2 linked regions of the Caenorhabditis elegans genome follow. The protein of the gene in region 1 interacts with the protein of each later gene in a pairwise test. Each region holds a gene or a part of one and is shown in the gene's direction. Other genes may lie near its edges.

What was found.
Region 2: the proteins of meg-2 (region 1) and W03D8.8 interact in a two-hybrid assay, tested with the Caenorhabditis elegans proteins (one large-scale study listed by BioGRID).

The regions. Positions count from the first base shown.
Region 1 is NC_003284.9:13,922,138-13,928,119, reverse strand, and holds meg-2 (Protein meg-2), read left to right. Parts: upstream 1-1,990; 5' UTR 1,991-2,011; coding exon 2,012-2,150; intron 2,151-2,203; coding exon 2,204-2,506; intron 2,507-2,787; coding exon 2,788-4,407; intron 4,408-4,450; coding exon 4,451-4,682; intron 4,683-4,838; coding exon 4,839-4,979; intron 4,980-5,023; coding exon 5,024-5,048; 3' UTR 5,049-5,477; downstream 5,478-5,982. Other genes in the region: Protein meg-1, read left to right, coding at 1-62, 108-386, 437-577, 624-651.
Region 2 is NC_003279.8:2,790,099-2,795,516, forward strand, and holds W03D8.8 (BAAT/acyl-CoA thioester hydrolase protein), read left to right. Parts: upstream 1-1,588; 5' UTR 1,589-1,590; coding exon 1,591-1,691; intron 1,692-1,883; coding exon 1,884-1,990; intron 1,991-2,033; coding exon 2,034-2,139; intron 2,140-2,242; coding exon 2,243-2,534; intron 2,535-2,579; coding exon 2,580-2,693; intron 2,694-3,914; coding exon 3,915-4,151; intron 4,152-4,196; coding exon 4,197-4,283; intron 4,284-4,548; coding exon 4,549-4,797; 3' UTR 4,798-4,878; downstream 4,879-5,418. Other genes in the region: W03D8.1 (uncharacterized protein), read right to left, coding at 1-31, 78-211.

The DNA.
Region 1 (5,982 bases):
AACTCATCGGATGTTCTCAATCAAACTCTTCCAACTGCGGCTGAGGTTTCGGATGTTGCCAGGTGCATACTCTGCCTGTTGTTTGTTTTCTATCCTACTTTTTTCAGAGAGGATGCTTCGACTTCACAGCCATCCAAAAGCCGATCCATGTACATTCGTCCCGCTGCCAGTCTTGATAATACCTTGGAGACACTTGATGAGAATTTGGATTCTTCACAAAGTCATGCCGGGCCAGTTCCAGCAGCTTCAACTAAGCCCAAAACACCATCCTTTGAGAAGATGATTAGATACAGTGGCATCAAAAAGCGAAGCACAATGGACATGGATAATTTTGTTCGTATGCTTGATGAAAAGATCAACTTTTCGCCTGAGCCAAGCACTTCAAGGTATGTTAACCATAATAAACGAATTCCGATGTACTATTATTTCTTTTCAGTGATATTGCCAGCTCTGTGAAAGGCTACATGTCTCAATCCTTCCTCCACCAACAAGATGACGAAGCTCCTGATTGCACCAAGAATGTTCATTCTGAAAGTGATTTGAAACAAGCTGAGCCACAAGAATCGGACAAGCAAAGGTGAGACTTGTGAACTTATATAAATAACAAGCAATTTTTTTTTCAGTGACAAGGAATTGCCAAGCAATGAATGAGACGTTGGACAATTGGTTCGCCTACAAGAACACACTTACTGTGCTGCCATTTTGTACCATAACAATTCTATTTTTACCATACTAACCAATTTCACAATTACAAATTATATTTTCCTGTGATTTTCATCAACCATCAACCCATCTTGTGCTGTATTTGTATCTCATAGTAGAAACCTCCCAGCAACTAATTTTGACTTTTGGCTCGCCTGCCAACATCAATCTTATTACCCAATTTTGTACCATAACACTCTCTATTTCTACCACACTAACCAATTTCACGATTAGAAATTCTTTTTCCTGTGATTTTCTTCAACCATCTTGTATTGTACTTGTATCTCATAGTGCTCAGTTTCAGTCTTACCGGTTTTCCAGTCACTGTCCAGTACAATTTCACCGACTATTGTTGTTTATTTCGATAAAAATATTTTGTTCTAAATGTTTGAAATTTGTTGTAAAAACTGGAAATTACTAATCCAAACATATATCTTTCAAAAACAAATACCCATTGAATTATTTTGGTTTATTTTAAAAGTCATACCGTTTTTCACATGATGAAGATATTGAGAAAACGAGTTCAGGTTTAATGGTAGGACAAACTTGTAAAGTTCAATTATGATGTGGCTTGATTCGGTGCATTTTTATATTTTTCAAGTGATCAACCTAAGACCTCATTTGATCAACGAATGCTCGTATTTAACTAGGTTAAGTAGATAAAAACGTGTGGATCACTTTTTTAGTTAAAAGTTTCTTGCTGAAACGTATAGCTTTTGGAGCATACTTATTGGAAAAGTCTAAATAGTCGCCGAAAAATTGAAAGCGAGTATTGGCCAGCACTGTTTTAAATAGTTCAACAGCAGAAAATTGCACACCAATAAGACTTCAGAGAATTTTATTTTGAGAAACTCTGAACTATGCAATTTTTTCTTGAAATCCCTACAACTCTAATTTCTGCATACTTTAAACTCTCAAACGCCAGAATTTCATAAGGTTTCTGAGAAATTTCAAACGATCACATTCGCCCTTTCACAGCTAACTTAGGTTTTCAAATTCAAAGAAAAAAATCATGCATAAATAAGAACCGTTCCATTTTTATCTGTTCCAGTTTACAATGGTAAAATCAATAATTCGCGTGTGCACTGTTTTCATCATATCCATCGTCACAGTTCCGTCACGCACTTGCTGCGTCTCTTCCCTCTCACTTTTCCTTCCGAGGCACTCCATTCAGTCTTCGTTCCATTACACGTGGACAGTGGTCCGCTCTCTGTTTCATCTGCAGTTGTTGCGAAATCTCTTTTTTTTCTTTTTTCTTAACATTTTTCTACAATTTTTCAATTTTTAGGTTTCCATTTGTTGCGCGGCAATGGAAAATTGTGATGATCTTTCATCGGATGAGAATCTCCCACCACCCGGAGATCACCGTCGCGAACAGTCCCAAGAAAGAGCGAGAGTCGGGAATCGTGATGAATCAGTTTCTTCGACCAACATGCGTAGTATTGGAGGTAAAAAAAAATAAATTTAGATTCACTATATTTATTAAACCGGTTTGTTACAGGTGCAGTTCACAACCAGCAGCAACTTTATTGGACAGACATGTACAATGGCTCAAATAATTTGGAGAATTTTTGGCTGTGCTTCTCTGGAAACACGTCTCTTGCCGATGATCCAACCGTTCAATCCGATTCATCCGCGTCCACACAAAGTAGAACTAACCAAAGTGGTACAATTGCACAGGAAACGGACAACAGGAATGCAAGCAATTTTCCGCCACGATCAACAACTCGGCGTGGACAGACATATGAATCGAGAGACGAGTCTCAAGGAGGACAGGCGCCCTCACATCAGAACCAGGTTCCAGGTGAGCCTCAAATCTAAACTTTGATTAGAAAATTATCTACGTTCACAGTGCATTACTTCAACAGTCGGGAGAATCATATATTCATGTTGTATGAAATTTTCTCTCTTTATTTCTTACTGAAGTACCGGGTAATAATTGAATGAAAATAAGTTATCAAAACATAACAAATTGATAAGGTTCCAATTTCTATTTATTTTTTATATGAAACATTTATCGGAAACATAAGTACAACTTCATTTATTCTTTGGCACTTCATATATTAATAAGCTAAATTGTTTCAGGTGTTGATCGCGATGAGTATGCAGGTGACCGGAGTAACGTTTCCATCAATCTACCATCCGTAGATCAGTGGCGCGAATACAGTTTTTCTGATAATTCGTTTCAAGGCGAAAGCCGGACTGTCCAACGGAGATCATCCCGGGCCACACATCGCGTCAAAAATCAATTTGGCAGCATTGGAGATGGGAGAACGAGCAATAATACGAGCCTCCAAGAGCCAGTGATTCAGGATACAAGAAATCGAAATCGCTCTGAATCTTCTTCCACCATGTCATCGCAATCACGAACAGAACATGCTCCAATTTTCCGGTTGCAATATAATTACCAAAGAGAGGCAGACAATAGATCTTCACGATTGGTTCAAATACAAGGACATTCGGCTCCAAATAATGCAAACGGTCTACAAAATACGGGCGGTCAAGCTCCAGACATTGGTCCTGAGGTCAATGGTCAGAGTTCCGATACTCGAGCAATGAACATGGGTAATCAGATGGCTCAAGGCGATTCCCACGTTCCAATGAATTTCGTACCAAGACCTTTGTCTAACGGTGTTCCCAGGCTTCACGGAGTTCCCAGGCTTGTAGACATGTACGATTATGAACTTGCTCAGAGGGCTCATGCACGAAGATATCCGACTTCAAATATGCCATACGGTTTTCCAAATGCCGGCTTTCAAGCTCCTCCACACATGGGTTTGTGGCCAAATAATCAAAATGCAGATACTCGAGCAATGAACATGGATAACCGTTCGAGAGATCGTACCTTCCAGATGCCTCCTGCAAACGCTCAAGTTCCAACGAGTTCTCTGTCAGGTCTATTCAATTCATCTATAAATCACGGCTCCGGGAATCAACAGTTCCAAATGGGACAGAGCTCATCAGGTTCTGCACCTCAATTGCCTGCTCTTCCGGAAAATTTCCTGATGGCTCATGCAAACTCTCAAATTCCAACGAGTTCTCTGTCAGGTCTTTTCAATGCAATGAATCACGGCTCCGGGAATCGAATGAACCACAGCTCATCAGGCCCTGCACCTCAGTTGCCCAATCTGCCGGAAAGCTTCCTGATGGCTCATGGAATTGGTCAAGTTGAAACAAGGTCCCCAGCAGGTCCCTCCAATTCCTCCATAAATCACGGCTCCGGGAATCAACAGTTCCCAGTTCAACAAAGCTCATCACGCCCTGCACCTCAGTTGCCCAATCTGCCGGAAAGCTTCTTGATGGCTCATGGACTCTCTCAAATTCAAACAAGTTCCACAGCAGGTCCCTCCAACTCATCTATGAATCACGGCTCCGGGAATCAACAGTTCCGAATGGGACAGAGCTCATCACGCCCTGCACCTCAGTTGCCCAGTCTGCAGGAAAGCTTCTTGATGGCTCATGGAATTGCTCAAGTTGAAACAAGTTCCACAGCAGGTCCCTCCAACTCATCTATGAATCACGGCTCCGGGAATCAACAGTTCCCAGTTCAACAAAGCTCATCACGTCCTGCACCTCATTTGCCTGATCTGATAAGGCAAGAGGAAGAATTTTTGAACACTCTGGAGTTTGAGCAATTTGCAAGGCGATTGTACAACGACCTACTTCCTGGAGTTGATCCAAATTATGATTCAGGCACATCAACCAGTAGGTGGAAAAATGTGTATTCTTTGATTTCAAATAATTTTAGGTGAGACTCCAGTGCTAAAGTTCTCAATAACACTAAAGGCGATGCTTTACGACTACTGGCGGACGATGGTGCAAATGCAGTATCGCGGAGCGAACATCAACTTCCTCCAATCCATTATTAACTTGAATGCCAGGTCTGCTGCTCTCAACAGCTCAAACGCCAGAGCCTCAGGCTCGGCGGATGTGCAGAATCAAACAGTGTCAGCGACGGTCGAAGGAGCAGATGATGCCAGGTACACACAGGAATCCAGTCCGATGCCTCGGCATTTTTTGGCACTCGCTGCATTAAAAAAAAGTTTGGTTATAATACACGCGTACCAATTAATTCTTTATCTGAGCCGAGCACATCAAAGTATTCCAATAAAAAAAGTACCAATTATAATTTTCAGTGCCAATGTCAACGCATTGAGCGACTTGCTGGCCCAATCTTTCCCACGCCAAGCAGAAGGAGAAGCTTCTCGTCGCAACGATATAGATCATCCCGAAGATGATCTGAACCAGGCTGATTCACCGAAATCAGACAATCAGAGGTAAGCGGGAAAAATAGTTAAATATCACATCTTTATAATTTCAGTGACAAGGATCCTCCCAGCAACTAATTTTGACTATTGGCTCAACTACAAACATCAATCTTACGACCCAATTTTGTACCATATCATTTCTTTCCAATTTTACCATTTCTAGTTGTTTTTCTGTGATTTTTTTCAACAAGCAGCCCAACTTGTATCGTACTTGTATCTCATAACAGGAACTTCTCAGCAGTTAATTTTGATCAATGGCTCGCCTACCAATAACAGCCTTATTACCCACTTTTTTACCATACCATTTCTTCTTACCATACTAACCAATTTTACGACTTCTAGTTTTTTCCTGTGATTTTTTTTTCAACAAGCAGCCCATCTTGTATTGTACTTGTATCTCATAGTGCTCAGTCTCAATTTTTTTCGGGTTCCTAGCCACTGTCAAGTATAACCTCACCGGTCGTTTTTATTGTTGTTTATTTTAATGCATACAATTATTTTTATTTATTTATTTATATTTATTCATCAGGCAACAATCACAATGACACAATTACGACAAAGCAGTGAAGTGAAGGAAAAAGGAATGAATAACTAGATATAAAATAATCATTTGGACCCGCAAGAGTCCGGTGACTAAGTATGAGGGGGGGAAGAGGGTAAAACATTGTCAACAAAAAGTTGACCGAGACGTTTTCCGAACAAAATTTCTGAGACAGGCTTGGGGAAATAAGGTACTATTTTATTCCAGTAATTAAAATTTTTATGCAGGAAACTGTCATTTTTAACGCCGCATAGCTTAATTCTGTAAGGGAACCGGGTTTTGCTATTTTGCTCAGAATCTTTGTAACGAGAATAAAGAAACTTTGAAGCCCAAAGGATTATCTTTTCGAATGAATTAAATGTGAGTTTTGAAAGTTTACATGTTGGTAATTGGCAAAAGATAGATCTTCGATAGTAACTTATAACATGATTTTGAGAAAACTGTTTCATGTTTGAAAGTGTAAAAACAACA
Region 2 (5,418 bases), on another chromosome or scaffold:
TCCGGTGGTGTATGAATAATAATAACTCGATCTGGAAACGAAGAAGGTAGGTAGGCAGGCAGGCAGGCCGAACTCACAATTCTACACTTCCACACTTTTCTAGTCGTTCGGCATTTTCAGCGTCCGTCAGCTTCAAGAAGTCCACAGTAGCTGCTCCACGAGCCAACAGAAGCAAGAGTAGAAAATTGATTAATTTTCCCATCAAAACCATTTGAGAGGAGAAATTGTAGAAATGATTGAAATTGTTAGGGATTCTTGGAATATAAATAGCTAGCGGGAAAGAATAAACGGGGATTTTTGAGACGTGTAAGGTTTACGCGAATATTTCAGGTTCTACATGCCAACCAGGGCTGGGACTTTTTTGGGGCCACAATCGGAAATGTCCGGCAATTGGCAATTTTGACAATTGCCGGTTTTGGAAGTTTCCGGCAATAGGCGATTTCGGCAATTGCCGAAATTGATTGCTGGACATTTCCCGCAATTTTCAAACCTTATTATATTTTGGAAATTGAACAAAGTTAACCTTATTTTTTAGTATTCGGTTAGCCATTATTCAAAAAAAAACGGTCAAAAGGATTAAATAATTTGGAGCTTGAAAATAGATAATTATTCATTAAAATGCATGTTTAGCCTCCTAAATCTATAAAAAGCTTCAAATTTATATTTCCGGCATATTAATCGGCAATTCCGGCGATTGCCGGTTTTCAAAATTTTCGGCAATGCCGAAAATTTGCTTGCCGAACGGCAATTGCGGCGCACCCCTGTTGCATATATTCCTGAGTGCCTATGGACCTACCTACATGCCTACCTTTTATTGTCGCCCCTAAATTACACCCCGACCCTCATAACAAACCTAAATGGCGTCATTAATAAAACTTAGCAGCCGACAAAATGTAGGCCAAAAAACATTTTTTTTCTGTTCTTTTCTCTGCGTTTTTTCAACGTGACCTCGAAGAGATAATACTCGGCCACCAATTTTTAAAGGATCTTTTTTGTGATCCTCAACTTGAAGCAACAGTGAGAGTGCACAAACCTCGGCCATGTCACTGGTTTTTATAGGTACCCACAATTCTACAGAATCATGGCCATAGCCGCGGATAGGGAAAACTAGGCTTACAGAACCAAAGTCATCAGCAATAACGTGGCCTAGAATGGAAGAAAACTCGGCCACCAACTTTTTTCCCTTCTAAACGAAAATTAGTTAATGACGGACAAACTGCATGAACCTCAACCAAGGTCACCCACAGATCCATGACCATGGCCGTGGATAGGAAAAATTTGTCCACTCTTACAAAACTGAAGTGGGGCGGTGGCCGAGGATTGAAAAAAAAACTCGGCCACCAACTTTTTCCCTTCATCGCCGCAAAAAAAGCAGTACCGTTCTTTTCTACCTCCCCAGAGTGCTCATTTTTCTCTGACCAAAGTCAAAATTAAAACTCTCACGAATTGATAAGAAGCTTTTCAACCACCCGCCTCCCTCCAGTCGTGTGATTGATAACTGTGTTTGATAACTATAACAGTGATTTGTACTCTCCTCACCCATTTGTACTCACTATGTTTCGTTCCTTCTAAAACCAAAAACTTTCAGCAATGCCGATTCATGTGGACAAACCGGACACAATGCAAAATGAGCTCATCGATATCGTGGCAGATGGGCTCCGATCGAATCAGATTTACACGTTTCGAATGATGTAAGACTTCAGTACATTATTTAAGTTCAAAAATTTTTGATACTGATGATTGATGTGTTGTGTAGTTTAGTAATTGCTATTTAGGCACAAGGCCAAAAAATGACCGAGGTGGCCGAGTTTTTCTTTTTTCAGCCACCTAGAAAATGCTGGGCGGTATCGAGGCTTAAAAATTTTAAACCTAGACTTTTCCAGCTTGAAACATGACTATGGAACTCACAAATCGGAAGCAACATTTCAAGCGGACCCCGCTGGAAGAATCGACTTGAAGTATGCGAAGCCCCTTAGAGGATCTTATTACGGTAGGTACACAATACCTAGAGTCACTCTAAATCAGATATTTAGATGCTGATCCGATGGGGTTGTTCCTTGGAATGAAGCCATGTGAGGATTTTGCATATGGTGGATATCTTCGGTGTACTCCGCCAGTTCCGTTTTATTATCTGTTGGAGTAAGTTTTATACTTTTTCTAAACTTTTGCTAGTTGCACTTCCTTTAAAAATTTCCGCCACAAGACTATGTACACAAACCCCTGCAAACATACAAAATTTCAGACTCTTTGATTCATCCGGAACCCTTATCGACTCTACCTACATCAAAAAGCACTGGATGCACCCAAAATTGATACGAACCGAGTTAGAGGAAGATTTCTGTGCGACACTCTTCAAACCTCCCGGTGATGGTCCCTTCCCAGTGGTCCTTGATATTTCAGGAACTGGTGGAGGAATCCATGAGCATAAGGGTGCTATGTTAGCTTCAGAGGGATTCGTTGTATTATGTCTTGCCTTTTTCCAGTTCAAGTATTTACCGCAAAAAATGGAAGATGTAGATATGGAGTATTTTGCAGTGAGTTGTAAAATTTGAGCACTAAAATTAGAAAGCTAATTCCAGAAAGCAATCAACTACTTAATTGATCTACCATTCACAAAAAATGTGATAGGTATACAGGGAGTCTCGTTTGGCGCAACTATTGTGGACTTGCTCACCACAAGACATGGCGATAAGGTAGGCAGAATTTATTGTTCTAGGTGAATGGCGCTAAATGATAGTTGACGAACTTCAGCTCAAATTAGTGGTGGACGGCAATTGCTGTTCGGCAAATTGGCAATTTTCCGGTTTGCCGATTTGCCGGAAATTTTCAATTCCGGCAATTTACCGGTTTGCCGATTTGCCGTTTGTTGGATATCAATTTGCCGAAAGTTTCGGCAATTGCCGTTTTTCCGGCAAATTTGGCAAATTGGTAATTCGCCGATTTGCCAATTTGCGTAAACTGCTAATTCCGGCAATTTGCTGATTTGCTGGAAATTTTCAAATCCGGCAATTTGCCGACTTTCCGGAAATTTCCAATTCCGGCACTTTGCCGATTTGCCTGAAAATTTCAATTCCATCAAATTGCCAATTTGCTGGAAATTTCAGTTTCGGCAAATTGCCGATTTGCCGGAAAAAAATCGTTTGCCGCCCACCCCTGTCTCAAATTCTGTCTGCCGCACATACTTTCGAAAAAGTGTTTAAAATTTAATAGAAAGCACGTGCAGGGGTAGCGTGTATGTGTAAATAGTCTGCAACTAGACTGCCATAGAAATTTTTGGAGCAAGTGCAATAATTTGTGCTCCAAAACAGTCCTATGAGGAAGTGAAGCGGAAGTGACACGGAGCACCGATTTTTTGCCAAAAGTAAAATTTTGGGAGGGTCGGGCGGAGGAGAGCGTTTTTTGAACAAGCAAAAGTTTTGCAACAATTTTTTTTGATAGTTCCTATGATTTCTGTCTTGTTACAATACCATGACACAGTTTTTTTTTAGAATTAGTAAAATCTGGAACTTGAAATGAAAACGAAAAATTCGCTTCAAAAAACCAGGAAAAAATTTAAAAAATTTTTTTTTGGAAATTTCAGAATTTCAATTTTTATCTACAAAATTGTACGCATTTTGTGAATGTTCTTACATCTATTTTGAAAAGTAAGCAATTTCTATGAAAATATCTAAAGAAAACAGATAAAAATTTCAAAAAGGCACAGTTATAAGTATTCCGTCTTATTAAAAATCCCTCTAAAAAATGACGAGAATGAAAATTTCCGGCAAATCGGCAAACCGGCAATCAGCCGATTTGCCGAATTTGTCGACAAAAAAATTAACCGAACTGCAACTGCCGCGCACCCTTGATCTAGACTGTTTTTTTTTTCATACTTTGCCAATCCTCCTTAAACAATAACCATAAACTATTTCCAGATCAAGGCCCTGGTCTCCATCAATGGCCCCCAAGTCGTATCTGACTACCTCTTCATGCAAGAAAACGGTGCCCCAATTCCTCATCTCTCCCATGGCCAAGTCACTTTGGAGCACTGTCAATTCATTAATGGAGTCATGTGTTCCCATAGAAACTTCCAGATTATGACAGAAAAATTGACACCAGAAACTGAAATTCCATGGGAACGAATCCCCAGTGATGTCAAAATTCGTGTAATTGTAAGTGTTCGAGCTGACGTTCAGCGGAAATTTTGTGAGCTTCAGGGATCCGTGGATGATTTGTGTCAACCATCGGTGCATGCAACGTATTACAGACAGAGAAGACTCAAGGAGACCGGGCATGATGTGGAGGTACTTTTTTTTTTAATTTGGAGCAATTTTTGAGCTCTGGCACCATTCAGGTGAAGCTGAGTGGCAATATGATTAATTGATAAGAGAATTATCAGAAAAAATAATAGTTAAGCATTAAAGAACTCCAGACAGTCAAAGTTCCATCAGACGTTTTTTTTTTCAACCGAAATTCCGAAAATAATCCGATTAACTCAGAGGTTTTTTATTCTAATAATATTATTAATTTTATCTTAAAATCGAGTCTGATAACTGAAAAAAATTTCAGGTTGAACTAGTGAATGGAGGACACATTATGGAGCCACCATACTTCCCACATCACGAACTCGTCTACGCAAAATACCAGGGATTCTATTGTGGATATGGTGGAGAAGTGGTTCTACACGCAAAATCACAGGAGAAGACATGGTCCAATACTATCAAATTCTTCCAAAAAGCTCTTGGAAATACAAAGAAAATTCAGGATTGGGATCGACTGACGGTTGTGGTGCCGCCGAGAAAAAAGAGCAAATTGTGATAATTTGAAACTTCTTTGAACATTGTCTGAACATTATGAACTTGAACATTTTGTGAACCTTTCCACTAAAACTCTTTATGCAGCAAAAGATCTCTTCACTTGCTTCGTCAGAAATAGTTTCAGGAATTTTCGACGTTGTGAGAAGCGCTCTTTCAGTGGGGTGATATATCACAAGCTTCACGCGAGAAATTTCATTCATTTTTATTTACGTGGAATCATTTGTAAAGCACCGTAGATTAACTTTTGGGGATAATAGTTGATGAAATTGAAGAAATGAGGATGATACCAAGGGATCAAACTCATTAAAAAATAACTGTGAATAATAAATCGATAATCAGTTCAAAATTTTTATCCTCAAAAATCAACTATTAAGCTTGCTTCTATTGCTCACTTCAATTGAAATGTCTACTACACCAATACCGATGGATTCCGCGGACGTACTCAGTGCCAAGGATTGCAAAAAGGTATGTAGCGGGGCTGTGCGCCAACCAGTGGTTGCCAAAGAAAACTAAAGGGCGATCATTAATTATAGCGGTCAATTAAAGTTATCTTAAAAAGCGTTAGAAAATTAGTTTTAAAAATTGAATCATTTTCTGTATTTTAACAGCCATAAAATTTTCC